7 linked regions of the Coturnix japonica genome follow. The protein of the gene in region 1 interacts with the protein of each later gene in a pairwise test. Links are inferred from orthologs where the notes say so. Each region holds a gene or a part of one and is shown in the gene's direction. Other genes may lie near its edges.

The links.
Region 2: the proteins of PPP1CA (region 1) and PHACTR3 interact in a two-hybrid assay, tested with the Homo sapiens proteins (2 studies listed by BioGRID and IntAct). The link is inferred for Coturnix japonica from reciprocal best matches to the Homo sapiens genes PPP1CA and PHACTR3.
Region 3: the proteins of PPP1CA (region 1) and AATK interact in binary tests that used the Homo sapiens proteins (3 or more experiments, as listed by UniProt). The link is inferred for Coturnix japonica from reciprocal best matches to the Homo sapiens genes PPP1CA and AATK.
Region 4: the proteins of PPP1CA (region 1) and PPP1R3B interact in binary tests that used the Homo sapiens proteins (3 or more experiments, as listed by UniProt). The link is inferred for Coturnix japonica from reciprocal best matches to the Homo sapiens genes PPP1CA and PPP1R3B.
Region 5: the proteins of PPP1CA (region 1) and CSRNP2 interact in binary tests that used the Homo sapiens proteins (3 or more experiments, as listed by UniProt). The link is inferred for Coturnix japonica from reciprocal best matches to the Homo sapiens genes PPP1CA and CSRNP2.
Region 6: the proteins of PPP1CA (region 1) and SH3RF2 interact in binary tests that used the Homo sapiens proteins (3 or more experiments, as listed by UniProt). The link is inferred for Coturnix japonica from reciprocal best matches to the Homo sapiens genes PPP1CA and SH3RF2.
Region 7: the proteins of PPP1CA (region 1) and WBP11 interact in binary tests that used the Homo sapiens proteins (3 or more experiments, as listed by UniProt). The link is inferred for Coturnix japonica from reciprocal best matches to the Homo sapiens genes PPP1CA and WBP11.

Annotation. Positions count from the first base shown.
Region 1 is NC_029520.1:170,044-174,019, reverse strand, and holds PPP1CA (serine/threonine-protein phosphatase PP1-alpha catalytic subunit), read left to right. Parts: upstream 1-1,176; 5' UTR 1,177-1,326; coding exon 1,327-1,486; intron 1,487-1,879; coding exon 1,880-2,011; intron 2,012-2,091; coding exon 2,092-2,322; intron 2,323-2,716; coding exon 2,717-2,821; intron 2,822-2,894; coding exon 2,895-3,118; intron 3,119-3,289; coding exon 3,290-3,424; intron 3,425-3,506; coding exon 3,507-3,617; 3' UTR 3,618-3,805; downstream 3,806-3,976. Other genes in the region: cell cycle checkpoint control protein RAD9A, read right to left, coding at 3,881-3,976. UniProt on the Homo sapiens protein: Protein phosphatase that associates with over 200 regulatory proteins to form highly specific holoenzymes which dephosphorylate hundreds of biological targets.
Region 2 is NC_029535.1:5,949,616-5,953,691, forward strand, and holds the start of PHACTR3 (phosphatase and actin regulator 3), read left to right. Parts: upstream 1-1,276; 5' UTR 1,277-1,964; coding exon 1,965-2,073; intron 2,074-4,076.
Region 3 is NC_029533.1:5,062,921-5,066,420, reverse strand, and holds part of AATK (serine/threonine-protein kinase LMTK1), read left to right. Parts: coding exon 1-100; intron 101-494; coding exon 495-582; intron 583-706; coding exon 707-840; intron 841-1,490; coding exon 1,491-1,575; intron 1,576-2,031; coding exon 2,032-2,171; intron 2,172-2,272; coding exon 2,273-2,422; intron 2,423-2,516; coding exon 2,517-3,500. UniProt on the Homo sapiens protein: May be involved in neuronal differentiation.
Region 4 is NC_029519.1:44,186,802-44,191,026, reverse strand, and holds the start of PPP1R3B (protein phosphatase 1 regulatory subunit 3B), read left to right. Parts: upstream 1-1,425; 5' UTR 1,426-1,498; coding exon 1,499-1,512; intron 1,513-3,001; coding exon 3,002-3,893; 3' UTR 3,894-4,225. UniProt on the Homo sapiens protein: Acts as a glycogen-targeting subunit for phosphatase PP1. Facilitates interaction of the PP1 with enzymes of the glycogen metabolism and regulates its activity.
Region 5 is NC_029544.1:1,405,370-1,409,415, forward strand, and holds the start of CSRNP2 (cysteine/serine-rich nuclear protein 2), read left to right. Parts: upstream 1-1,246; 5' UTR 1,247-1,380; intron 1,381-3,426; 5' UTR 3,427-3,441; coding exon 3,442-3,592; intron 3,593-4,008; coding exon 4,009-4,046. UniProt on the Homo sapiens protein: Binds to the consensus sequence 5'-AGAGTG-3' and has transcriptional activator activity. May play a role in apoptosis.
Region 6 is NC_029528.1:484,795-488,894, reverse strand, and holds the start of SH3RF2 (E3 ubiquitin-protein ligase SH3RF2), read left to right. Parts: upstream 1-1,300; 5' UTR 1,301-1,386; intron 1,387-1,532; exon of another isoform or gene 1,533-1,753; intron 1,754-1,763; exon of another isoform or gene 1,764-1,862; 5' UTR 1,863-1,941; coding exon 1,942-2,313; intron 2,314-4,100. UniProt on the Homo sapiens protein: Has E3 ubiquitin-protein ligase activity. Acts as an anti-apoptotic regulator of the JNK pathway by ubiquitinating and promoting the degradation of SH3RF1, a scaffold protein that is required for pro-apoptotic JNK activation.
Region 7 is NC_029516.1:43,750,990-43,754,489, forward strand, and holds the end of WBP11 (WW domain-binding protein 11), read left to right. Parts: intron 1-344; coding exon 345-653; intron 654-1,267; coding exon 1,268-1,450; intron 1,451-2,141; coding exon 2,142-2,575; 3' UTR 2,576-3,265; downstream 3,266-3,500. UniProt on the Homo sapiens protein: Activates pre-mRNA splicing. May inhibit PP1 phosphatase activity.

The DNA of each region.
Region 1 (3,976 bases):
GCGGGCGTCGGGAGGCTGCGAGAGACGGGAGAGGGGTCGCGGTGAGCAGGGCGCAGCCCGCACCGTCGGCCCCACTGGTACCGCGCCGTGCCACCGTGCTCCCGGAGGGACACTGAGGCGTGCGGCCACACGGCCCCACCGGGAAGAGCCGTGCCCCGCAGTCACGCGTGGCCGCTGGCAGTGGGGCGGCCCCGTGCCCGGGCTTAGCGGCACAGAGCCCTATTGTCCCCGGCTTCCACCCGCCCGTCCCCGGCGCCGCTCGGTGCCGCCCCGCACGTCCCCCGGCTTAGCGCAACGGCTGCCCGCGATTTCACCGCCGGACACGCGCAGCACGGCGCACGCCAACACCCTCGGACACGCGTGGAGCGGGCGCCGCCTGCACCCACCGGCGGTCGCTGTCGCTTTCGGGCGGTCGTGGCGGCGGTGCCCGCGGAGCCGTGCCCGTTCTGCACCGGCGGCGGAGGCGCCTTCGGTGGCAGAAGGGCGTCCCCGGGGGAGGGCGCGGGGCGGGGCGGGGAAGGGGGGGAGAGAGGGAATGGGGGGTGTGCGGGGTGTGCGGGCACCAGGATTCAGGGGTGCGGGGTATCAGGTGTGGGGTGTGAGGGAACTATGGGGCGTGGAGACAAGGATGCGAGGGCATGAGAACATCTGGGGCGTATGGGGAAATGGAGATGGGGAACGAGGGAGCACGGGGAGAAGGATCTGTGGGGTTACGGGGATCCGGGGACACGGGGATTTGGGAATACGAGGCACGGGGACGTAGCGACGGGTAAATCGGAGGATACGGAGATAAGGGAAGATACGGGAAAAGGGGGATCTGAGAGTGGGGGACGTGGTGACAGAGCAACGTCGGGGTGGGGACGGGTAGATCGGAGGAGCCGGGGCACGGAGACACGGGATGTGAGCACACCGCGACGTGGGGCCGCACGGATCGGGGGACACGGGGAGGCGGGACACGAGCAGCGGGACACGCAGCCGGCAGCGGAGCGGGGACAGTTGCCGGGGTCGTTCGGGGACAGCGGCGCAGCTGACACCGCGGGGCTGAAATGTCACCGGTGTCACCGCGGGCAACGGGCCAGGCTGTGCCGGCACCGCGCGGCTCGTACTGCACGTGGGGGCGGCACGGCGGCACGAGGGGCACAAGTGAGGCGGGTGGAGCCGGTGGCAGCACCGTGTCTCTCGGCACACGTCCCCGCGGGGCTCCCCACGCGCCGCGAGGCTGACAACGGCAACAGCCGCCGGGCAACCGGCCGGCACGGGGAACGACACGGCGCCGCCTCGTGGGAGCGCGCAGCCCCCACGCGCCTCCGCGGCCTCCCATCCGCCATGGGGCGCTCTCGCCACCCGCCGCTCGCCCCGGCCGCTCTCTATGGCCGCGGGGCCGGGACCGGGGCGGGCCAGGGCGGGGGGGGGAAGCAGCGTCCGGCGGCCATGGCGGATACCGAGAAGCTCAACCTCGACTCCATCATCGGCCGCCTCCTGGAGGGTGAGCGATGGGCCTAGTGCTCCCGGACCGCCTCGGGAGCCGCTAGGGGAGGGAAGGACCGGCGCTGTGCCGCCAAGGAGGGGCTGGAGAACGGGGCTGCGGGCCGGGGCCTGCGGGGAAACGGGGGCCGTGCGAGGCTCTGGGGGTCCAACTGTGGGGCTGTGGGGCAGCGGGGGGTATCGGGGCAGCGGGGGGCCGGGGGGAGCCGGGCGGTGGGAGCCGCTGGGGGCTGTGGGAATGAGGGGGGCTGCGGGCGATCGGGGCGGATGGGGGGTGGCTGCAGAGGGCCGGGGGCACCGGGAGGGCCGTGCGTTAGTGCGGGACTGTTAGGGCACGGCGGCTCTGCGGGCTCCGGGGGTGGAGTGGGCTCTGCTGAAAGCCACCCCCGCACAGTGCAAGGCTCACGGCCTGGGAAGAACGTGCAGCTGACAGAGAACGAGATCCGGGGGCTGTGCCTGAAGTCACGGGAGATATTCCTGAGCCAGCCCATCCTGCTGGAGCTCGAGGCTCCGCTCAAGATCTGCGGTGAGCGACGAGCCGGGGGGAGGGGAAGGGGGCGGGCTGGGAGCCAGCGTCACCGCGTGTCCCCCGCGATCTTCTTACAGGCGACATCCATGGACAATACTATGACTTGCTTCGGCTCTTTGAATATGGAGGCTTTCCACCAGAGAGCAACTACCTATTCCTTGGTGACTATGTTGACAGAGGAAAGCAGTCTTTAGAAACAATTTGTCTTCTATTGGCCTACAAAATTAAATACCCGGAGAACTTTTTCCTGCTGCGTGGCAACCACGAATGTGCCAGCATCAACCGCATCTACGGCTTCTATGATGAGTGTGAGTGCTGCACCGGCCCCACTACTGACAAACGGGACTGCCTTGTCACCTCACTGCCAACCCCATATGATACAGCCAGCCCAAAGTCCCCCCTTCCATCCCCATTTGCAGCTCTTCCCATCTCCTGCAGACCTTATGTTCATCCCAGCTACTTTCTCCTGCAGACCTTATGCCCCCATCCCAGCCATCTCCTCCTGCAGACCTTATGCCCCATCCCAGCTACCTCCTCCTGCAGACCTCATACCCCCATCCCAGCCACCTCCACGGCCACCCCCCCAGCCCCCTGGAGGGTTCAGTGCTGCCCTGTGTGTGTTGTGATACACCAGAGGGTGGGGAGGGTGGAACATGGCCCACATGAAGGGCTCCTGTGAGCACCCACCCCGCTGCCTCACAGGCAAGCGGCGATACAACATCAAGCTGTGGAAAACCTTCACCGATTGTTTTAACTGTTTACCAATTGCAGCAATTGTGGATGAGAAGATATTCTGCTGTCACGGAGGTGGGCACAGGGCTGGGGGCTGCCGCCTGGGTCCAAAGGCCGCCACACAGCATAACCTGACACTCCTGTGCAGGGCTGTCTCCTGACTTGCAGTCGATGGAACAGATCCGGCGCATCATGCGACCCACGGACGTACCCGACCAGGGCCTGCTGTGTGATCTCCTGTGGTCTGACCCTGACAAAGATGTCTTAGGATGGGGTGAAAATGACAGAGGAGTGTCCTTCACCTTTGGGGCCGAGGTGGTGGCCAAGTTCCTGCACAAGCATGACCTCGATCTCATCTGCAGGGCACACCAGGTAATGGGGTCGGGCCTCACCTGGGCTCCATAACGGTGGAGCTTTTCCCAGGAGGGGCCATTTGCTCTTGAGGATGTGGTTGGGCTCTTTTGAAGGGGATGCTGCCCCCTGGGGGAGTTGGTGGGCTCTATGGACAGAGAACAGGGAGATATGAGTGCTGCTGCCCCACAGGTGGTGGAGGACGGCTACGAGTTCTTTGCCAAACGCCAGCTTGTCACCCTCTTCTCTGCACCCAACTACTGCGGGGAGTTTGACAACGCAGGAGCCATGATGAGTGTGGACGAGACCCTCATGTGCTCCTTCCAAGTGAGCTGGGGCTTTGCCGGGGAGGGGGCAGCACACAGGGCTCTGCCTGCAGCCCCTTCACTCACCCTTCACTTCCTTGCAGATTCTGAAACCAGCAGACAAGAACAAGGGCAAGTACGGGCAGTTCAGTGGGCTGAACCCTGCTGGCCGCCCCGTCACCCCACCACGCAACTCTGCCAAAGCCAAGAAGTGAGTGTCCACCGCCAGCAGCCCCAGCACCAGGTCGCTCCTTTCTCCATTCGTTTTTTTATTTGTCAGATCCTGCCCTTGCCGCTTTCTACTGTACCAAATGTACCCTCTGGGGCAGGACCCGCCCCTCAGTTGGCAGTGAAGGCAGGGCAGGAGGCTTTTTTTGGGGAATAAACTTGTAATGGGTCTTAAGATGTGGCTTTAGGATCACACCCTACGTGGCCAGGCAGTGCCAGCTGCTGCGCCATGGCATCGCAATGGGGGCTCTCAGCATTCGGCATCGCTGTCCTCTGCCAGCACCTCCTGGCTGGGGGCTGGGCCAGGCCCCCCCGGTGTCAGCACGGAGCCAAAAAACAACGAGCG
Region 2 (4,076 bases), on another chromosome or scaffold:
TTCAACAAAGTTAAAGCAGCAAGGCAGATTCTAGACTTGTTTGGCTCATTTCGACATGACTACATTTTAGGATTCAAAGGGACCCCATGAAGTGCCCTCTACAGAGGCAATCAGAACTTGCTTAAAAACACCACTGTGTGCTTTTCTATAGGGCACAGTGCTACTTTGAAAGGTTGAAAATGCTTTAATATATTCATCCTGCACTAATGCCAAAACCTGATATGAGACTTTTAAACTACATATTTTATATAAGAAATGAGTGCAATGCTTCTTTGCAGAAGGTGGGCGTATCGATTAATACAGACCGAATTTCACAGAACCATCCACATTTTCTAAAATGACCTTAGAGTTACATAAGGAAAAAGAGAAAAACAGACATTTTTTCTATTATTTTCAGGAATAGAAGAGGGTTTGGTTTGTTATTTCACTATAAAGGGAATATTTCTAGATGAAAAACTGGATGCAGGGCGTATATCACACTGTGCTATCCAGATGCACAGAAATATCTGTTTGTTGTCAGTCATTTTCAGAGTTCCTGACTCCTTTTCAGTGTTGAATCACGGTAACTCAAAAGTTTGGCTATCAGGGCAAAAGGGTATAAATGAATTCCAGTATCTTTAAAGCCTCCCTTAAACAAAGCATTCAAGTCTTATCTGTTTATTTGGCTCCTTGGGAACTTAGATTGTGATATAAATGGCTCATTTAGCCGTCCTTTGGGAATTAAGATGAGCCACTTAACTCAAAAGGCTTGGAAGAAATTACAGTAACTGACACTGAAAATGTGTCAAGATGGCAATAGTAAGCTCTCAGAAAAGTACAGATTACCCTTACTATCTTAATTCACTCCATCACATTATGATGCAGCTTTGATTAAAAACTCCATATTCTCCTACTTGTTTTGGGTGTGTCTTAATCAAAGCCAGAGGGGACAGCACACAAAATGACGGACTTTAATTGTTAAGAACCACAAACTGCCTCATTGGCCTCTGCTTTCAGAGATGGCCAAAACACATTTCCTTTGTATAAAAACAAACATAAGATGCTATTTATGTTTCTACAGAGCCAAAAAATGTGAGTGAACAAATGACTGCATCAATGGAAAACGCTCTGGTACAAAGTTTCATCCTTAAAACCTGGCAGACGGACCCGTGGGGCAGTGGGAGGCTGGACCGAAAGGGGATTTATCACACTCGGCTATTTTAACAGGAGAGACAACGCCATATAACCCAATTAGGGGCGGTGCCAGCACAGCGCTCAAAACCCACCTGGTGTTACGGGTCGAAACTCACGTGTAATCACAGCAGGGAGGACCGTTCAGCAGAAGGATCACCCCAAAGCACCTTCATCCTTTCCGACCAAGCTCCCATCCCGAACTACAACAGGCTCAACGTAGCTCATCCTGGGGGTCACTCACGACTTCGCAGCCCCCTCTACCGGGCGGGGCGGAGCCCCCCGTGAATCACATGCTTCTGGGAGAGGGCGGAGCTTCGATGCTGCTTACACCTGCGGTGTCCTCCTCCTTTGTGCAGTGCAGGTGCGGCACCTCACACCCCCTTGGCGTGACATCACGCTGCCGCTCGCTGGGCACGATGGGAGAATCCCGATGTTTTCCGACGGATGCTCTGAGCGGCGCGGCGAATTAAGGCGGCTCCGGGAGCGACACGCGGGGGCTGCGGGGCTCCGGACGGACGGACGGCTGGCTCACAGCTCTGCTCTCACCCAGCCCTGCGGGTGGCATGGCGCACACACCCCCTGAAGAGGCCGCAGCCGTCCTCTGAGCGCCTCGGTGCCGGTGGAGGGCCCCGCCGCATCCTACCGACGGCGCCGGGAAGATGCTGCCGCTGTTGGCGCTGCCCGGCTGACTCCTCGCCGCCGCGCCCCCGTCCCCATTGTCCCCCCGGCGGCCGCCGGCTCCATGAGCGCCTCCTCCTGCCCCCGCCTCTGAGCTTCCCTCCCGCCGCCTCATGGCTGCATCGGAAGAAGGGCCCGGCTGCTTTCTCCCGCGAGGCAGATCGCAGAGTGACCCCAGCATCCTCACCGAGCCCGCTGGCCCCGGGGCCGGGGAACACGCAGGTAACGGCCCCGCGCTCCGGGCAGTGCCGGGGTGGGCGGGGGGCGCGTCGCGATCCGCCTCCACTTTGCAGCCCTCTGAGAAGCGGGCAGACTCTCGCTGCAACGGGCTCCGATTCGGTGTCGGGGCTCGGCAGAGCCCTGCGCTCGCAGCTCCCATCCGGAGGCGCGGCTGGAGGTTACCGGGGCTCTGCGGGGAGCGCCGCACCTGGGCTGCCCCGAGAGCGTGGGGCGGGGGGGGGGTAGTAGGGGCTCCCAGCGCAGAAGGGAGTGGGCTGTTTGCGTGCCATCGCCATGGAGACAAGAGGCAGCGGGGTCGCAATTAAGCGCTTTCTCCCCTTAAGAAGGTAATTTTCACTTCATGGGGAGAAGTGTAATCTTCTTACCAAGTGTGGCCACAGAGGGTGGTGCCTGGGGGGGACACGGTTGAAATACCAGCAAATAAACGGAATATTCTGATTAGATCTATGTATTTTTCCCCCTTTAACACTGGCTAATGATGTTTTTAGCTTAACTCCACTTTGAGGAATGATTCTAAATGTCTGTTGGCGGTGAGTCAGTAATTGCAGATGTCAGCACCTAAGCAATGACGACCCCTTTAGAGGAAAAAGAAACAAATAACCGCATCACTTCAATGTGATGTGATCGCAAAGAAAGGCCCAACAATAAGCTGGGAGCAAAGGCAAAGAGCCAGTTTATTCTGGGTTTATGTAAGGAGACAATAATGCAAGCCCTGTAAGAGAAAAGGAGTAATGAAAATAGCACAAGACAATGAATGGACTGTTGATACTCCCTGCCCATTACACTGAATTCTAAACCCAGAAATAGGTTTGGGGTTTGAGTCAGGCAGTGTCAGCCTAAAGAGGTAGTCCAAAACTGCATTTGGGGACTAAAATCTAGTTCTGGTTTATTTCAAATTACTGAATGAATAAAACATTCCAGTCTCTTTTTGGTACACCTGCCACACTGTTCCCTTCTGGTCCAACGTGTATATTAATACATTCATATTTGTAACTATTTTAAGTTTTCTCACTTATTGGTTTTATCAAGTAATCCTAAGCACCTTGGTCTAGAATGAAATACAAATTAAATTAAGCAAAACAATAGATGATTTGTCTCTAATGCCCAACAGTTCCAATTCCTTAAGTAAAGGGAACAAAGGACTCTAACATGAACTGCTCCACTCACTCCCAAAGGGGCAATCTTGACTGAAAGGAATGTATGCTTCTACCATTTGATTTCTGAGAGCAGAAGTGACTAATGAAAGGATTATATATTCAGTCTCACTTTTAATTCCCCTATGTTGTTTTCTGCTAGGCAATTACTTGGATCTTTGTGAAATATACAACAAAGAAAGTATACAACATGTCTGACACACAGACAAAGATATTTATATTCAAGTTGGTTTTGTGTGCGGAGAAAGAACTATCAATACTAAGAAAGCATTTTTCCTCCTCTAAAACAGACTTTATCTGGTAGGACAGTGTCCCATTGCATGACAGAAGCTATAGTAACATGCAAGAAAATATGGCTTTTAAGGTATTATAATAGATATACAGTATGTGGAAAGAAATAAAAGGTGCTAAATACATATGGGTTTAGTCTTTGTGAGTAAAAATAATTAGTGGTAGAGTTGCATGTTCAATGAGCTTTTTCAGGTTTGCTATATACTGCTTAAATTTGTTTATCAAATAATATTGAACATCTGCATGTTCCCACCTGATAATAAAACAAATATTTTACTCTTATTCTGAGTAATCACGCAAAAGCCTGAAATCTAGTTTATACTGCTGTAAGAATGATGTGTGGTTTAGCATTTAATGGATTTTATCTTACAATGTTATTCTGAAATATTGTCATTCTCATTGTATGATCAGAATAATCATCTATGGACTCTTCAGTCAAAAGCCTTAAGTAAAACTAGGAGTATTAGGAGTGCTGAAAGGTACCTGAAGGGTACCAAGTTTGTGTTTACATCCCAGTCCTGCTCACAGACTTGCCTATTA
Region 3 (3,500 bases), on another chromosome or scaffold:
ACTCGGGCATCAGCAGCACGCAGGTGGTGGTGAAGGAGCTGAAGGCCAGCGCCAGCGTGCAGGACCAGATGCAGTTCCTGGAGGAAGCACAGCCCTACAGGTAGGGCCAGGGGTGCTCCTGAGCTGAGACAAGCTGCTGGGAGGGGGGGGTGCTTGCGGATGGAGCCTGTCCCCATGCTGTGGGCTGGCCCCTCTGTGCCACATTTGGCTGAGCTCTCTGGGCTGCAGCTCAGCTCTGTTTTGGGGCTTGCTGCCTGCAGGACGCTGCTGGTGTCCGGCCTGGGCTGCAGTGAGGTCATGAGTATGGTGGGGGGAGGCACAGAGCTGCTCCATGCCCCATGAGAGCCAGACAAATGTCCCTTTGTGGTGTACACTGGGGTGCTGGGACGTGCTGGTACCCGCTTACAGCCATTCCCAGCTGCCCCCGCGCTGTGGAGGAGGCACCAGGGATGCTCCCCCCATGGTGCCAGCATGCCCCTCACTCTGCCCTGCAGGGCCCTCCAGCACACCAACCTGCTGCAGTGCCTGGCCCAGTGCGCCGAGGTCACCCCTTACCTGCTGGTGATGGAGTTCTGCCCGCTGGTGAGTGCCATAGCCGGTGTTGTGGGGTGGTACGTGGCACTGCTGTGCCATGCTTACTGCATTTTGGCCCTGGGACATGCTGGGTGTGAGAGGGGACTGTGGTCACAGTGCTACTGTCCTGCAGGGTGACTTGAAGGGATACCTGAGGAGCTGCCGGGGGGCTGACTCCATGGCCCCAGACCCACTCACTCTGCAGAGGATGGCGTGTGAGGTGGCCTGCGGTGTGCTGCACCTGCACAGGAACAACTACATCCACAGGTAGGGCTGGGCGGTGCGGTGGGGGGGAAGGGGGGCATGTGCTAAGCAACCCCCAGGCTGTACCCGCCCCACCTTGCTCCTCCTGCCCAACAATATCCTGGTGCTGAGTGAGTTGCACACAGAGACTCCAGCATCAGTGATTTTGTTGAGGAAGGGGAGCGCTGCATCGGGGCCACCGGACCTTCCCAGCTTGGCTGCTTGGAAGCATTGCAGTGGGAGGAAGGTGGGGGGAGGGCAGTGCTGGAGAGGGGTTTCCCTTGGGCATCCTTGGTGCACCCAGGGTTGTCCCCACATGCATCCACACTGTCCTGATGTGCAGCCCATCTGTGTGCACCCCTCCGGGGCTATGGGAGCCTGCCTTCATGGCTAAGAAGTGCCAGGGCTCACGTTGCTGGGGAAACCTGCTTTCCGCTTGGCTCAGCGCGTGACGGATGGACGGATGGACAGAGGCGCAGCTGGAACGCTGTGCAGGAATTCCTGCTGTGCATTGGGTGGCTGCTGATCGGCACACCCAGCGTTCTGCTGTCACACAACCCTTCCACTCCCTGCACTGGCAGCAGTGCTGCTGGGGCTGCCCAAGTGCAGTTCCCGGGCCCTGGGTGCCTTGTGCCCCCCATGGGGTAGTGACAGCACTGGGGTTTGCTTGGCAGCGACCTGGCCCTGCGGAACTGCCTACTCACCGCTGACCTGACCGTCAAGATTGGGGACTACGGGCTCTCACACTGCAAGTACAAAGTAAGGCTGGTTAGGGTGAGGAGGGGGTTGTGCTTGGGACCCCCTGAGTTGGGGTGGGGGGGGGCTCAGGGGTGTTCTGTGCATGCTTATGGCTTTGCCTGTAGCTCTCTGTACACACACACCCCCAAACACCCCCCTCTTTCCCTTCCCTTCCCTTCCCTTCCCCCCTTTCCCTTCCCTTCCCCTTCCCTTCCCCCTTCCCTTCCTTCCTTTCCTTCCCTTCCCTTCCCTTCCCTTCCCTTCCCTTCCCTTCCCTTCCCTTCCCTTCCCTTCCCTTCCCCATGGGCTTTTCTAGAGCACTGAGTGGGTACTGGGAGGAGGTGTGAGCCTGGAGGAGCAGCACGATGGGGCTGGGGCCGTGGGGTGGCGGTGCAGTGGGGCTGGGGAGCATGGTGGCAGCAGGTGGTGGTGTGCCCTGTCCTTTACGTGTTGTTTTGACGTTCTCTTCTCGTACTGACCCTGCATACTTGGCAGGACGACTACTTTGTGACGGCCGACCAGCTGTGGGTGCCGCTGCGCTGGATTGCGCCCGAGCTCATCGACGAGGTGCATGGCAACCTGCTTGTTGTGGACCAGACCAAGGCCAGCAACGTCTGGTGAGCAGGGTGGGGGTCATGGAGGGTGTGTGGTGTCTGGATGCCAGCCGGTTGCGGGCTGGGGGTCTCTCTGTGCCCCCAGTATCACGCCACTCCTGCAGGTCGCTGGGTGTCACCATCTGGGAGCTGTTTGAGCTGGGCAGTCAGCCCTACGACCACTACTCCGACCGGCAGGTGCTTGCCTACGCCATCAAGGAGCAGCAGCTGAAGCTGCCCAAGCCCCAGCTGAAGTTGTCGCTGGCGGAGCGCTGGTGAGGAACTCTCCCCATCCCCCTGCGGGTGCACAGCCACTGCTCTGGCATAGGAGTGGGCACGGTGCTGAGCCCTGCTCCTTGTCGCCACCAGGTATGAAGTGATGCAGTTCTGCTGGCTGCAGCCTGAGCAGCGCCCAACAGCTGAGGAGGTGCATCTGCTGCTCTCCTACCTCTGTGCCAAGGGTGCAACGGAGGCGGAGGAGGAGTTCGAGAAGCGCTGGAACTCCATGAAACCCAACGGCGGTGCCAGTGGCAGCCACCACGGCACTGAGCTGTCCTCCTTCCCTCTACTGGAGCACTTCTCAGCTGACGGCTTCCCCTCGGACGGGGACGACATCCTCACCGTGATGGAGACCAGCCACGGCCTCAACTTTGAGTACAAGTGGGAGCACACCAAGACCGAGCACTTCCAGGCACCCCTGGGCTCCCTCAGCCCCAGCAGTGCTGCACGTTACCATGAACTCTATTACCCAGCGACATCCGCGGGGCACCTGAGCCTGGGGGTCTCACCCTCCTGCTATGAATGCAAGCAGTCCGGCTGCCCCAGCCTTCCACCACCCAGCATGGTGCCCATCCTGGGCGCACACAGCCCCTCGCTTGGCAGTGAGTACTACATCCGCATCGAGGGCCCGGCCGAGGGCAGCGCTGAGATGGACTACGCCATGTGCTCCTACAGCCCTGAGGGTGAGCGTGGCTCTGCGTCCTGCTGGAGAACCCAAGGTGCACGGGATGACTCGGACAGCAGCCCCACGGCGTCACTGAGCATGGAGCCACTGCTGGGCCACGTGCCGGCGGGTGAGGGCTCGTGGGAGTGTGCCGAGTACTACCCCTACACGGGGCAGGAGCAGCACGGCTATGTGCCATCTCCTGGCCCCGAGCGGTTCCTGCTGGACGAGGAGCACGCTGAGCCCAGTGACAAGGACTGGCCTGTGCCCAGCTTCCAGCACAGCGTCTTTGCCGACCCACTGGGCGTCTCGCCTTCATTGAACTGCACCTACAGCCCCCAGCACTACAGGCAGCCACCAGCACAGGGTGAAACCCATCCGGACTGTGTGGCACTGGAGCTGGGTGACGA
Region 4 (4,225 bases), on another chromosome or scaffold:
GGTGGAAAGCTATGGGGAAATCAGTAAGACCACTGTGCAAGGGCTCAGTGCAAAGCTAAATATAGCCATTATCTCTGCTCCCAAAAGATAAGAGCCTGTGTCCACAGCCCGCCACAATGCCCTGCCCTGGCTTCCACCTACCTTTGCTTCAGAGGCAAACAGTAGGCAGCAGTTGTGAAGCAATTCGCCCTGCACAAGGCAAACAGAGCTTCTATCACGCGACAGAAATGCACCCTGAGCCACCGTGCTGAGCCAGGCTGCGGTAGCGCTGCCTGGAGATGGCTGTGCAGACCCAAGGGCCTTTTGGGGCCTCTGTCCATTGCTCTTGGGCAAATCCTTGCTACCCCGCATCCCTGCACAAACCTTGTCGCCAATCAGCCCTGCTGAAATTCCACACTGCCGCTGGCATGTAAAATACTGATCCACATCTCCAAGGGACCTGCAGTAGATTTCTCTCCCCAGCTTCCTTATCATTGCCTTTATCTAAAAGCAGGAACCTATGAGGCTAAAACAATGGTCTTTCCCCCCAACACAACCCTTTTGCATCGCTTTGCATCGCGGAGCAGCGAGTTGATTAAGCAGCAGCTTTACAGCAGGAAGTCTCTGGGTTTAACAATAGCCATGCCTGCTTCCACCGGCTAATTAAAAACAAATGTTGACTCTTCAATACCGCTTTTATGCTCTGGGAGGGAGGCGGGAGAGCAGCACTGCTCACATTGGTGTGCTCGGAGGCCAACAAGAGGCTGTTACTCCCAGCCTTGTCACCATTCCCAGCTCCCAGGAGGCGAGGAGGAGGTGTCGCCGCTGGAGCATTGAGTTGCCTTGGGATGGGCTTCTGCCGGCCGCTTGGCTCCCGCAGGTGGTTGTTCATAACACTGTCATTGTAAGAGACGACTTTCTCGTGTCTGTGAGAAGCTCAGTTTTTCCACTCCGTGCCCTAAATCTTGTCAGGAAATGCGATTTGGGAACGTCTCCTGGCATTTCTGCCCCAGAGCTTCAGCTATGGGACGGAAAGTGTGAGTAACCCTCGTTCCTCACCCCACCCCACCCCACCCCTCAGTGCAAACCGAACACCTTATTGAGGACAGCAGCCCCCTGAGAAGGCCTCGGGGCATTCCTGTCACCTTTGGCTGCTCGTTGCTGGCAAAACCCCCCGGGGTTGCACCAGTTTCATACCAGAGAGGCTCACAACGCCTGCTCAGGCACAGGAAATTCCCTCAGGAGACCCCAGGCATCCAGCTGGCTTTTAGAAACCCCCAATGCTCGCCCCAAACACCCCCCCCCCCCCCCCAACCCACCCCAGCGAGCGCAGCCCCCCACCCGGCTGGGTACGACACATCCAGCCCCATCGCCGCAGAGGAGGAGGGTTCCATTGAGGAGGACGGCACCCATTGGTCAGGCGGCAGGGAGGGAGGGGCGGGCGGTGCCTTTAAGGGTCCGCTGTGGGGCCACCCTGTTAGAGGTGGTGGTTCGGGGTTGGGGCTGTGTGAGCGGGCTCATGCGCTGCGTCAGGTACGGGCTGTATGGGGGACGGGGCTGTGTCACGGGGGGTATCCTGTAGGGGTCGTGGGGGTAACCAGGTCTGTGCTGTGGGAGTTGCTTGATACGGGGTTGGGCTCAGTTGGAGGGGGGGTGGTGAGTGGAATGCAGCCTTCCCCTTCTGAAAGGGGTGGTCCTGCTCGCTCCCTTTCCTCTGGTTTTCAAGTTGGATGTGCTTCAAGTCGTGCAAAGCAGGCAGGATGCTCCTGGCCTCTTAACGTTAAATGCTGGTTGTTACTGAGGCTTACAGAAGTACCTGAGCGCTGAATGGGAGATCAGGTGTATGGCTGCTGCTGGGAGGGGGTGCAGGTGAAGTTGTCCTTGGTTTGTTTGAAAGGAGGAAATGAGCTGTATGACATATGTGAGAAAGCCAGTGAAACCAGGAAGAGCTGAACGGCTTGGTGCTGGCAGACAGGTGGATCCGCTGTCTGTCCTTGTGCAGGTGCCCTTGAGCTTCAAAGAAGGCTTAAAGAAGAAATGCAGGAGGTAGCTGGTGTTAGGAAGCAAACCTTTGTCTATGCCTTTTAACGTAAGCAAGTGCTGCTGCTGAAGGGATGCTATGGAGGGCTGCCCTGTTGGTGCTGCAGGGTGGGAAAGTAAAGCACAGACTTGGAGAGAGCAGCTCTGTTGCTTTGTCTTGGCACAGGGACAGCTATCAAGTCCTATAGCTGGCTGTGTGTGGCTTTGGCAGCACGAGCCCTTGTGCGGTCAGCTGCTGCTGCTCTAGCAGTGAGACCGGCTTTGGAACATGGTCTGCAGCCAAACAGGGAATTTAATTAAGGAAGTAGCCTGCCTTCAAGATATGGGTGCACAGAGGGACTGTGCTGTGTCACTGGGAGCTGGATGCTAGAGGAGGAGATGCTGTGGTGGAGAGACACGCAATCTGTGCCTCTGAGGGGAGGGCTTATTTCCAAAGCCTCTGTCAGCCTTGAGTACATCACACAGCTTGCCTGCTCTAGCTACACTGATGTTTCTTTAAGTGTTTTGTAGGCTTAAGGTGTGCATTCTGCGTGGAGGAGGAACCTTCTGGCTGCCTGATACCTGTTTTAAAGTGCGAAGTGGGAAGAAAGTTGCTCTTCTATAAGTGTAAAGTGAGAATCAGTAGGACCAAGTAGCCACAGATCTTTGGTTTAAGTCAGAGGTGTTCCAGAGCCTGCTATTGCAAGCCTAAAAGGGTGATGACTGCATGTGCCTTAGCATGGTGACTTTGTAGCAAGCAATGGGAAGTTGTCTTGCCCTTGAGGGGATGTAACAGGCTATGGCTGAGCCACAGCACTGTGGTAGCACGCTTCCCAACATATCTGTAAGTCAAGCAAGTACTGGCCTCTGACAGAGCTTGAGGGACTTTGGGGGTGATGGAAACTGAGCTTCTTTAGGATGGATGGGGAATAGTGTAGCAACTATCTGACAAGTCACTGAAATGCTTCTCTGACATAAACTGCTCCTTCTTTTGATCTTTCAGTGTAATAGACTATTTTCCTCACAAACAAGCAATGGCTGTGGATGTAGCAATGCAGCTGTACCTGTGCTCCTCACCCTTGCGAAGAGAGAGGTGTGCCTGCAAAATTGCCCCAAAGCCAAACAAGCCATTGCGGCCGTGCATCCAGCTGAACAGCAAGGCAGTACTGACTGGACCAGAAGAGGCAGAAAACTCCTTCACACACAACAAGGTGAAGAAGAAGGTGTCGTTTGCGGATAGCAGAGGCTTTGCTCTGACAATGGTGAAGGTGTTCTCAGAGTTCGATGATCCTCTAGATATTCCTTTCAACATCACCGAGCTGATCGACAACATTGTGAGTCTGACAACAGTAGAGAGGGACAGCTTTGTCCTGGACTTTGTCCAGCCCTCTGCAGACTACCTGGACTTCAGAAACCGTCTTCAGACAGACTGCGTGTGCCTTGAAAACTGTATGTTAAAGGAGCGCTCTGTTGTGGGCACAGTGAAAGTGAGGAATCTGGCTTTTGAAAAGTCCGTGAGGATCAGGATGACATTTGACACCTGGAAAAACTTTGTAGATTTCCCGTGCCAATATGTCAAGGATACGTACGGAGGATCAGATCGGGACACTTTTTCTTTCGACATCAGCTTGCCCGATGGAATTCAATCCCATGAAAGAGTTGAGTTTGCCGTCTCCTTTGAGTGCAATGGCAAGGTGTACTGGGACAGCAACAGGGGCACAAATTACAGAATCATACGCTCAGAACTGAAGTCTGCCCAGGAAGCCCTCCGCCCCCCGTGCAGCCCAGACTTCAGCAGTGCCTTTGACCAGTTTGGGAGTCCTCGGTGCGCCTATGGTCTGTTTGCCGAGTGGCCAAGCTATTCAGGATACGAAAAGCTAGGGCCCTATTACTGACATAAGGACCTAATGTTCTGACTGACTGTTGGTGGTGCCTGCAGACGTGGGAGTCTTCCTAAACACGAGGTGTGTGGAAAGGTGGAAGAAGTGAGGCTCCCTGTAGCACTGCATAAGCCTCCCAGCAAAAAGAAAAGTGCAGTACTCTGCTGGCAGTTGGCTTATAATCAGGGGTGCATCTCTAATGCAGAGGGCTGCCTTCCCTGTCTCAAGTCAGATAGCAGACTCTCCAGATGATCAAAAGAAAAGGAGATGTCGCTTGCCTGTCTGTTCAGTGCTGCTACTCCTTCCTCTTCTGTAAAGCTGCTAGTCTCCAGGGATACACTACAGTG
Region 5 (4,046 bases), on another chromosome or scaffold:
AGCTGCAAAGCACCCATGGGTGCTGCTACTGCTGGCTCAATGGGCAGAGTTCAGCTCTGGGACCTCAAAGCTGCACGAGGGTTTTTCCTGGCTCCGTTTTACCAGCAGCTCCTGTGACGTTCAGGCTGGTGAGAGGACATGAAGGAAACCAGCCCGGTGCTGCCGGCCCCGTGGGGCTGAGCGGGTCTCAATCACACACACGGGGTGGTGGGAGAGGCCTGGCAGGGATTCCCTGCAGCACTTTGGCTGTGATGGAAGTTGGGCTGTTGGGCTTTTTCTCCTTTCCTCCACCATGGAAGCGCTGTTGGGACCCGCAGGGATCACCCAGCCCAACTCCCCACAGGACTCACCCAAAGGGGGGGCAGTTTGCTGCATGTTTTTGTGGTTTCAAGTGAAAGGGAGAAAAATCCCCCATTCCTGGGCTGGAAACCTGGAGATGGACCAGAGCACTGAGCTCATGGCTGCAATTGTGTCCTGCCCCAGCTCTGCAGATGGAAATGGGGGGAAATGGGGTGAGTTTGGGACTCAGCCTCAATGGGACATTCAACTCAACTCAATGGGATGCTCAGCTCGATTCAATGGGACAGTCAGCTCAATGGGACACTGAGCTCAGTGGGATGCTCAGCTCTATGGGACACTCAGCTCAATGCAATGGGATGCTCAGTGGGACCCTGAGCTCAGCTCTATGGGATGCGTTGCTCTATGGGATGCTCATCTCATCTCAATGGGACATTGATGTCAATGTGACGCTCAGCTCACTGGTCTCAATGTGCCACTCACCTCGGAGCTGTTCTCAGCCCAATTCAAGGTTCGGTTCGGCCCAATGCAGCCGCCCCCCCCCGCCTCCGTGTGATCCCCAGCTCGGCCCAATGGCGGTTCGGCTGCAGAGAGGACCCGGTTCGGTTCTGCAGATGGACTCATTGCGTTCAATGGGGCTCAGCTCGGTTCGGTTCGGCCCAGCGGTACCGCAGCTCGTTGTGCAGGATGTGGATCCGCTCCAGTCGGTACCGGGGGGTTCGGGCGGTACCGGGGTCGGTACCGGGGGTTCGGGTCCCATCCCGCTGTGTAACGGAGCCGGGTCCGGTAAAGTTTTGTACGGACTCTGTAGCTGTGAATGGGGCTGGGATGGGGGGGGGGGGGGGGTGTCTCCCACTTCCGCACTCCATTCCCGCCCCTCCCGGACTCGCTTTCCCGTCACCCCTCGCGGGTGGGGGGTAGGGGGCGGAGCTTGATGTCACGTGACTAGCGGTATATAAGGCGCGGCCCCATTGTTGTCGGCAGACGGCGGCGGGGCGGGCCGCGCGGCCGCGACCGGGCCGAGAAACGGAGACACGGGCCGCCCCCCGCCGAACCGGGACCGAACCGGGACCGAGGGGAGACGTGAGTGGGGGGGTGTGGGGTCTATAGGAGGTCTATAGGGGGTCTATAGGGGATGGGGGCTCTGAAGGTGGGAGGCTCTGGGGCTGAGGGGGGTCCATAAGGGATAAAGGGGGGGGGCTGGAAATGGGAGCCTATAGATGTATAGGGTGACGGCCTTAAAGATGGATATAAGGATATAAGGGATGACGGCCTTGAGGATGGACGGGTGTAGGCGGCCCTATAGGGGTGGGATATGGGAGCCTATGGCCTATAGGAGGTCTATAGGAGGTGAGGACATTAAGGATGGGGGCTATAGGGGATGGGGGGGGTGTATAGGGGCTGTAGGGAGCCTGTAGGGGTTGGGGGGGCTGGAAGATGGGAGCTGATAGAGGACATAGGGGGTGTATGAGGAGTGTGGGCCTTAAGGATGGAGGGGTGGTGGGGATGGAGGCCTATAGGGGCCTATGGGGGATGGGCCTGGAGAATGGGGGCTTATAGGGGCTGTAAGAGGTGAGGGCCCTAATGATGGAGGGATGTAGGAGATGAAGGCCGTGAAGGTGGAGGCCTGTAGGAAACCTATAGGGGTTGGAGCCTTGAGAACAGGGAGGATGTAGAGACTATAAGGAGCCTATAGGGTGTGTATGGAGGCTTATAGGTCACGTAGGAGACCTTAAATATAGAAGCATGTAAGGGATGGGGGGGGGTTACAGTTGGGGTGGGCTGAAGATGGAACGATAGAAGCAATAGGAGCCCCCCCCCCACCTTCAGAGCTGCCCCTTTTTCCACTCCTGCTTTTTGGGGGCTGCCCTTTCTTATCCCTTCCCCTTTTAGGACCCCCTTCCTTTTGGGGACCCCTCCTTTAGTCTCCAGCTTTTTAGTGTTCCCCTGTTTTTTATCCCCAGCTTTCTAGGACCCCCCCCCCCCCACATTTTACTGCCCCCTGCTTTTGGGGGCTGCATTGTCCCCCCCGCCTGCCAGCAGCCCTGCACTGCTGCTCATTGCAACGCATGTTGTGTAAGTGCTGCTGCTGTGTGAGCTGCAGCCTGGAACATCCACAGGGCTCAGCTGTGGGATCCCCTGATCCCAAAGAGGAGATCCCCGATCCCAAGGAGGGATCCAGTCTGCCCTAAACTGGGGAGCCCAGTGCTCCAATGGGGCCACCCCAGTGCAGAGCAGAGTGGGGAGCTGCTTCAGGCCTCCAGGGCACAGTGCTGGTTTGTGATCACCCCATAGCCGACCACTGGTCAACTCTTGGTTAACCAGTTGGCTTCCATTGGCCTTCATGGCCACCAGGACACCCTGCTGGCTTCTGCTCAGCTCTTGGTCAACCAGTGGCCAACTGTGGGTTAACCAGGTTAACCAGGTCAACCAGGACACCACCAGGACCAAGGGCTCTCGTTATGGGAGAGGTGCTGGTTGTGTCCCCCCCCCCCGGCCTTGTGTTACACCTGGATGGGAGCAGCAGCGTGAGGAGGAGCTCGGGGAGATGAGGGGTGGGTGGGATGGTGGAGGGATGGATGGATAGAGGGGTGGGTAAGGGATGGGTGGGATGGTGGAGGGATGGAGGGATGGATGGATGGATGGATTGATGGGCAGATTAATGGGTGGACAGAAGGGTGGACAGAAGGGATGGTGGAGGGATGGACGGACAGGAGGATGAATGGATGGCAGCTGGATGATGGCGGGGTGTACAGAGTCGGGTGATGGACAGACAGACGGATGCTGATGCTGACAGCTTCCTCCGGAGCCGTTTGTTCTGTTGCCATGAGAACCGTCGCTGCTGCAGTGATGGAGCAGAGCAGAGCGGGGCTGAGCAGCTTCAGCTCTGCCCATGTCCCTGTCCCCAAATCCCCCCACCCAGCCCCCCCAGGCACAGCCCTGTTGCCGGCTGAGCTCTGCTGTGTGCTGAGGACACCCCACACTTGGGGGTTTGGGTGCAGGAGATGCAGAGCTCAGTGGGGAAGGCGGCTTTGCACATTGCTACACCATGGGCCCAGCTCTGCCAATGGTGTTGGTCCAGTTATGGGGACCCCCCAGACACCCCCCACCACCATCCCCATCCTGCAGGTCCCCGCTGACCCCATGGATGCCATCGGCAGCGGCCGCCTCAAGAGGAAGTTTGAGGATGCAGACGTGGGCTCCCCGGCGTCCAACTCCGACGATGAGATCTCCAACAGCGACAGCGCCGACAGCTGCGACAGCGTCAACCCTTCCAGCTCCAGCGGCTTCATCCGTGAGCGGGGGGACATGGGGATGGGGGGGGACACGGAGATGGGGAACGTGAGGATACGGGGTCGGAGGACACGGGGGGGGGAGGGATGGGAAGGGGGGTGGGCACAGGGACAGTGAGGGGACAGGAGTGAGGATGGGGACAGCAAACAGTGGTAGAGCCAAAAGGATGAGGATGGGGACATGGGATGGGGGTAAGATGTGGGTACAGCAAATGGTGATGGGGGGAGGACAGGGTTTAGGGACAGGAAAGAGTGTGAAAGTGAAGGGGCCGGGACATGGGGACAGCAAAGAGTGACCAAGTGAGGGGATGGGGGTGGGACATGGAGACAGTGAGAGAGTGAGGGGACAGGGCAGGAAGGGGTGACAGTGAGGGGAGGCAGTGGGGCTCCCGATCCCATCCCTCCTCCCTCCCCGCAGCCACCTCCATCCTGAAGAGGCAGAAGCAGCTGCGCAGG
Region 6 (4,100 bases), on another chromosome or scaffold:
GTGTGTATGAACTGCAGCACAGAAATAGAAAAGAATATGTAAAAAACAAAAAAAAAAAAAAAGAACACGACAAAAAACAAACTTCCAAACCTGTTCTCAGTGCGGCTCATGTCACACGCTGCATTCTAAAGCAGCAGCCCAACACATGATGTTGATCTCAACGTCATTCATTACAAAGCGTGCACTGTCAGCCAAGCGCCAATCAAACATATGACAGACTACAAAGAAATACCAAGGTAAATGGAGACCTGAGATGAAACAGAGTGAAGTAATTGTTTCTGTGCATTATCCTGAAGATGTCAGTGTTTAATTCAGCCAAATGGCCACCATTTAAAACTAAAAGTTTCTCCACCAAAATCACTCTGTGGGGAACAGATATTGAAAGGAGCACATCTACTGTGGCTGCTGAATGCTGCTGGAAATAGCCCTCCCCAGAGAGCTGAAATGTCCTGCACTCTCAACACCACTGCACTGTGTGTAAAAGCACCAAACAGAAATAAACCCTTTGGGTCTACAGTCCTTTCCTCCAACTCACTGGCTGCAAACACACAGTTGAGATTGCGGCCATCCCTGCTGCAGCGGTTGGTGCTGCACATGGAGCTCCCAGCCAGATGGCAAATCCCTCTGAGCCAAAGCCTGTGGGTGCAGTGTGCCCAATGGGCCCGGCCTGCCCAGAAATGGAGCTGTGCAAAGTAGATCTCATAGAACTGCACCCTCCCACCCCTCACAGCCCCTATGGAAGCCGTGCTGGGATGGTGAGGGTGGAGGTGACCCAGTGTTTGGAGGATGGTGTGAGTGTCACAGTGCTGCAGGCAGCAGCACCCTCAGCATCACCAACCTATCACTGTGCTGGGAGGATGTGGACACGGCTGGGGCTGCTGGAGCCACTACGGGGACTCATGATGGGACACAGAGCCATGATGCTCAGGCAGCATGATGCTGGCTTCTGCCATCCCCAGCAGCACTCCTGGTCTGCTCAAGCATCCGCAGCTCAGAGCCTGGGAGCAGCACTGCTGGTGCCCAGCCCTGGCCCAGCTGTGTGTGAGGGTGTTCATGGCCATGGGCACCCCATGACCAAGGCAGGGTGAGCCCCAGCGGTGGGAAGCTCACACTCCCCAAACATCCATGTTCACACACCATCTCTGGGGGAGGTTTCGGCACAGGCGGCACTGCTCTTACCTGGCCAGCACACGGAAGGTGCTGCTCTCCCACAAGCTGTGACTTGAGCCCAGAGCCGCCTGCCCGAGCACAGCCAGCACAGCCCCGAAGGAGCCAAACGGGTTGAGTGACTTCGTGCTGTGGGAGGAATAATCTTGCTGGGCTGTGGGAGCTGAGGCAGCCTGGCTGGTGAGGACGTCGGCACAGAGCTCCCCACGGCCCTCTAAGGTAAAACAGGATGATAGTTGTGTTTGGAGGGCTTTTTATAGAGCTGCTGTCAAAACCGGTAGGCAGAGAGCTTAATTAGGACTGATCTTGGGAGCGAGGCGGTGCATGGGTGTGTGAGGGGCTGCTTGGAGCTGGAGCTGGGAGTAAACAGCTCAGGTTGATCTTACCGAGCTGTGCTGGCTGCGCCCTCTCTGTGCTGTGCCACCAGATGCCCACAGAACAGAACAGGAGCTCTGGGAGCTCCATGGGGTGCTGCAGGGACGGTGCCCGCCCTGCCCCACTGCACGGTGCCATGCGGGGCTGCTGGGCACGGCCCCCTCGCTCCTGAATCAGTACTGACTCACCGCAGCTTGGATGGGAGTGCAAAGTAGGTATTTGCAAACGGGCTCGTGAGGCGCTGCCTTGCCATGTAGGTGGGATGCGGTACAGGCTCCAGCAGCCGAGCTCTGCTCTGATTCCTCCTCCCTTCGGCACAGGGTGCCTACCGCAGCCCAGAGCCTGTGTCCGTGCTATGTGGACGTCTCAAGCAGAGCCGTGACGGCAGCTCAGCTGACGATGGATGACCTGGCTCTGCTCGACCTGCTGGAGTGCCCGGTGTGCTTCGAAAAGCTCGATGCCACAGCCAAGGTACTGCCGTGCCAGCACACGTTCTGCAAGCCCTGTCTGCAGAGGATCCTCAAGTCCCAGAAGGAGCTCCGGTGCCCTGAGTGCAGGACACTCGTCCTCTGCGGCATCGAGCAGCTGCCAGCCAACCTGCTGCTCATCCGCCTGCTGGATGGTGTCAGGTACGGGCAGAATGCACCCCGCTTTGGCTCCATTCAGCGCTCAGGGCTCCTGTCCTCCCCTGCCTGCATCCGCAGGGCCCCGCGAGGTCTGCAGCTTGCCCAGCACCGGCTGCCCACCGCCCCCAGGAGCCTCACGGATGGGGTAAGCAGCGCCCGCGCTCGTCACTGTGAGCACACAGCTCTGTCCCTGTGTGCCGGGAGTGCCAAACCGCCATGCCAGTAATGCTGCACAGATGTTTGGAGTAAGAGAGATTGTTCTTTTGTTTGCAAATCTGGCTGCTGTTTTCCTTGTGATATTTCTCTGGAGCTCACCGTAGTAGTAACTGCACTGAGCCCCAGGCTCAGACAAATGCAGTTTGCCTTCCTCTTTATACAAACTTTGCTGCTTTTCTCTGAAGCTTTCTGGTCCCTCCTGACTCTCAGGAGTCATTTCTGATGCTTTAACTTTCAGGAGGTTCACTGGTTGTGATAGCCATCAGATGGGTCACTGCAGGGCTGTAACTATCAGAGATGGAGAAATGCACCTCAGTTTCCTCAGAATTACAGAGGAAGGATATTTCTGCCCCTAGCAAAACGCCTTGAGATTCAGTGATGAAAGATACTGAACTCTACTTTCATCTAGGGATGCTTTCCTTGGCTAATTTTAAAGCTGTAAGCTGTTCCTGTCATTTTCTCTAACAGTACAAAAGCTTTTTTGAAATAATTAGGATGTGGCATGAGAGGGAGCCTGCCTCTGCCTCAATTGGGGCTCATATTACTGAATTTCCTTTTCTTCCACCTGCACTACTCAGTGTCGTGTCTCTGATCAGCCCAGGGCACACCTCAGCCTTGCAGACATGGACAGACTCGCAGTAGATCTGTCTCTGCTGTGCCGTGGAGGCCCCATACTGCTGTCCGGCTGTGAGCTCTGTGCAGTAGGGGATGGTGCACAGCCAGGGGCCTCAGGGCCACAAGAGGGTCATCCTGCCTCCAAGCCAACCATTGGAGCTTATGGGCTGGGGTTTCCTGCAGGGAAACATCCAGCACGGCCCCGAAATGCCTCAGATGGAGGGCAGCTGGACACAGGGTGTGCAGCACACAGCTTTCATCTCTCACCCCTTGCACATTCCTTTACCTGTGCTCGGGATGGTCAGGGACTGCTGTGGGCATTGCTCAGTGGCAGCTCCCTGCTTGGCGAAGGCAGCAGAAGCCCCGTAGTGCTTCTATTACTACTACTTTTACTATTATTATTATCATCATTATTTAACAAGCACTGCTCTTCCAAAGCAGAAATCTGGGCTCACGATTATTTTTAGATCACTTCTGTGAAAAAGTTAGAACTGGGCTGATTTCCTTTTCCTCCAGCATCCTCAAGGCTTTGCTAACACTCCTGGAATGACCCCATTACCAACATCCCAAAGCAGGGGCAAAAGTGCTCACTGTCAGCCATGAAGTGCCCCACTCACAGGCAGATCCCAAGCAGTGCTCAGTGCTCAGTCCCCAGGAACGTGGCTGTCCCCACCACCCCATGGCCGCAGCCATCCAGCAGTTGCTCAGGTAGTGCTGAGATTGCTGCAGGGCTTCCTGCAGTTGTGATTCTGGGCTCCCACAGGACGGCCGCCCCCAAACAAGTGCTTGCTCTAATTTGGGAGCCCAGAGAACAGCTCTCTGCATCCTGCTCCTCCACAGCTGCTCTCCTGCTGCTCATGGTGCAATGCTCCCTGCGCTGGGTGGTGGTAGGGTCCCCAGAGAAGGACCACCTCCACCTGCAGGCTGCTGATTGCCGTTGGGATGTGCACCACTTCATGCTACAGAGCAAATAAAATTAGCACACACCGTGCTGCACTGCAGCCTGGTGCACCGTCAAGGCAGGATAGAAGACACATTTTGTTTTACAAAAAAGACCATCTATAAATAAACTTCCTTTACTCCGTGGAACTGAGAAATCAC
Region 7 (3,500 bases), on another chromosome or scaffold:
TTGGGGTGGAGGGGAGAGGAGAAAGGAAGCTGGGAGAAGATGGGTTTCTTGGAAGTGGTGGTTATGTCTATTTTGGGGAATAAATAATCTGTGATATTTTCTATTTTAAAAGTTTTATCTCCCACAAACTCAAATAACTGCAGTTCAGATTTATTAATAGAAGTTTTAGTTCCCACAGGAAAGCAGAACTATCTAGTTGTTTTTTTTTTTTGCATTTTGTGTATATTAATTAGTATAATCAGTTTTCATTCCTTTGAGGGGAATTTCTTTTCATTCTTATTTAGTGTTTTATGTTGCCAAATTTATTACTTGTGGACTGATTTTATTAACGTGTCTGTTTCCAGGTCAGGAAATCCCAGAAGAAGGGAGGGAAGTGGAAGAATATTCAGAAGAAGAGGAGGAGGATGAAGAAGACTCAGAGTCTGAAGACACATCGCAACAGCAGCAGCAGCAGCAGCAACATAGTGAGGAAGCTCTTGCAGAGACTGGGTCGTCTACTGCAGCCTCAACACAGCAGCAATCTTCGCAAGCCGTTGCTTCAAGTCAGATACAGGCACCTCCTATGCCTGGGCCACCTCCACTAGGACCACCTCCAGCCCCTCCATTGAGGCCCCCAGGGCCACCCACTGGCCTCCCTCCTGGCCCTCCACCAGGTGAATATTTGATTTGTTTTGTTTTGAAGAATGCAGGCTCTCAGTACTACAGATGGTTTATCAGTGTCAGGGTTATGAAGCTGCGGAGCATTTTAGACATTAAGTACAGAAGACCAGTGTGGTATTTGCTGAGACCTGTGAGGTTTCTTCCATGGTCAGTGTGGTTTTCGTAACGTCTTCCAACAGTTTTGTTTCTGACATCCCCTAGAAGGGGAACCTCAAACCTCAAAGCAGCTATTTTCAGTAGAGTGAAATTACTTTATACATTTCAGGCCAGAAGAACAGCATGAAAAGACTGAAATACTTTCATTTCTAGCTATTTAAGTTCAGATAACCCTAGTTTATTAGCCATTCTCAACTGTTGATTCAATACATGGGGAAAAGCCTTCTCCCAAGATGGAGAAAATGTTTGTATTTTAATATAACCAAGAAGCTTTCTTGGTTCTACAACTGTTGTCTCTTCCTGAGACTTTGTAGAAGATCTGTTTAATCTGACAGCTGGCTACTTTGAAAATATCTCTGAAGCTTCTGTTGAAAATCTTCACTATTAGCAGGTGGGATTGTTCTTTTATCCATGAACTGAAGTTTTAAATCTCTTATGTGTATGCTTTCAGGAGCTCCTCCTTTCCTGAGACCTCCTGGTTTACCAGGACTGCGTGGGCCTTTACCTCGACTTCTACCACCAGGTCCCCCACCTGGGAGACCCCCAGGCCCTCCCCCCGGTCCCCCACCTGGTCTGCCCCCAGGCCCTCCTCCTCGTGGGCCCCCTCCTCGCTTGCCACCTCCTGCCCCACCAGGTAAAGTACTCGGAGCCAAGTCTTTCCCTACTTTGTCTTCCCAGTTCTCTGTAATCGTTGTTGTGGTGACCAAGTCAGTATATCTAATTGGAGAATCAGATATTCCTTTAGACGTTAAATAGTTCCCTACTACCAGATTGCCTTTGTCCTAGTATGTGCAGCTAAAGGTACGCCCTTAGGTTCTTTCCGGTTGATCCTTTTTGCCATTTCTTTTTATGTATTATAACAAATAATTCCATATCGCTATGTGTATTTTGGTAGTAAGAGATCTGGCACCTATAATAAGTAATTTCAGTGTTTAAATTTGTGCTGCATTGTTTCTAAATAGGTGATAGTGTGTTGGGACTTTTTTTGTTTTGCTGAATAGTCACGTGTTTTTGATTTTGAAATTCCAGTGGGATAAATCTTCAAGGAAGCTTTTCGCTTTTTAACTTTGAAAGTGGAAAGGGAGCAATATACAGGTTCTTGTGGCTTTCCAAGTCTGCTGAGCAGTTTTCTTGTCCTAATACATCTTCTACCTTCTTGTCGGGAGCTATCTACTGGTGCAATGCTTCTCCCTGTTTCCCTTTCTCTTAAGCCAGAGCCTCTGCATTTTGTTGACAGTTTTTGGCTGAGATTTTGCATTATTTTTGTCAAAGACTTTTAGCAATTCCAGATAAAGTCAGCTCACCTTTTTTCTTCTTCTTTCCAGGTATCCCTCCTCCTCGCCCGGGCATGTTGCGGCCACCTCTGGTGCCTCCATTAGGACCTGCCCCGCCTGGGCTTTATCCACCAGCTCCTCTTCCAAACCCGGGTGTTCTGAGTGCCCCACCCAGCTTGATTCAGCGTCCCAAGGCGGATGACACCAGTGCTGCCACTATTGAGAAGAAGGCTACGGCTACTATCAGTGCCAAGCCACAGATCACTAACCCCAAGGCAGAAATCACTCGCTTTGTGCCCACTGCCTTGCGAGTGCGTAGGGAGAATAAAGGGGCATTGGCTGCCTCCCAGAGAAAACAAGATGATGAGCCTGCTCTCCCATTAACCAAAGCTGCCCCTAAGGCTGGATCGTCTGCCCCTATCTCTGTACAGACAAAGGATGATGTGTATGAAGCCTTCATGAAGGAAATGGAAGGTCTTCTCTGACCTGTCCCAATCAGCTTTCCTGCCCTCTGAGCACAGATCAGGCCACCACAGAGGAAGAGGGAAAGGTCTTTCTGCCAGCAATGGAAGGGCTCATATGACAGGGAATGGTTCCCTACCCATGGGTTAACTTGCCAGTACGATCTGAATAGAGGCTGCTGCAGGTGAGGTGCAGCCAGGTACTTCCTTTCAGAGCTCGCATGTCCACTTGGAGCAAGGGAATTACAGTCAGTAAGGCAACGCTGCTTCCCTTGAGTCCTCCCACTTCCTTGGAGGAGGTGACGGTGATCTGTGGAGGGGGTGTAGGAGCTGTGGCTGTCTTTGCTCTTCCCGAATCCTTTCACATCCTGAATGCTCTGGTGAGGGTAGTGGAGCCAATTTTTAAGGAGCCAGAAAAACATTAGCAGCATTTCATACACACATGGTTTTATTTTCTGTACTGTTCCTTTCTGTAAATATTTTATAATCCTGTTGTTTTTGTTTTTTTTTTTGTTTTTTTTTGTTTTTTGTTTTTTTTAGTTGCAGTGAGATCAATCATCTTTATTCCGGGTAGTCAGGGCGGTCATTTGTTGCGTATACTGTACACTGGAATTTGGCACCCTGTCCCCTTAACCGTCATCTTGATGGCTTTTCATTGGCAGGGGAACCTTCATTTTGTCTTGTGAAAGACAATAAATATTCAGTGTATCAAAATACTGGCTTCCTTGTGATATATATAAATCTAGGATACAAATGGAAAATGAGATGGTTCTCATTTTCTAGTATTAAAAAATATATATGTTTTACTTGCAATGTAGCTTTAGTTCTGTAAATTATACTGACAGAGTCAATCATAGAATCATAGAATTACCCAGGTTGGAAAAAACCTCGAAGATCATCAAGTCCAACTGCAGCCTCACCATAGTACCCTAATTCTAACAACCCTCTG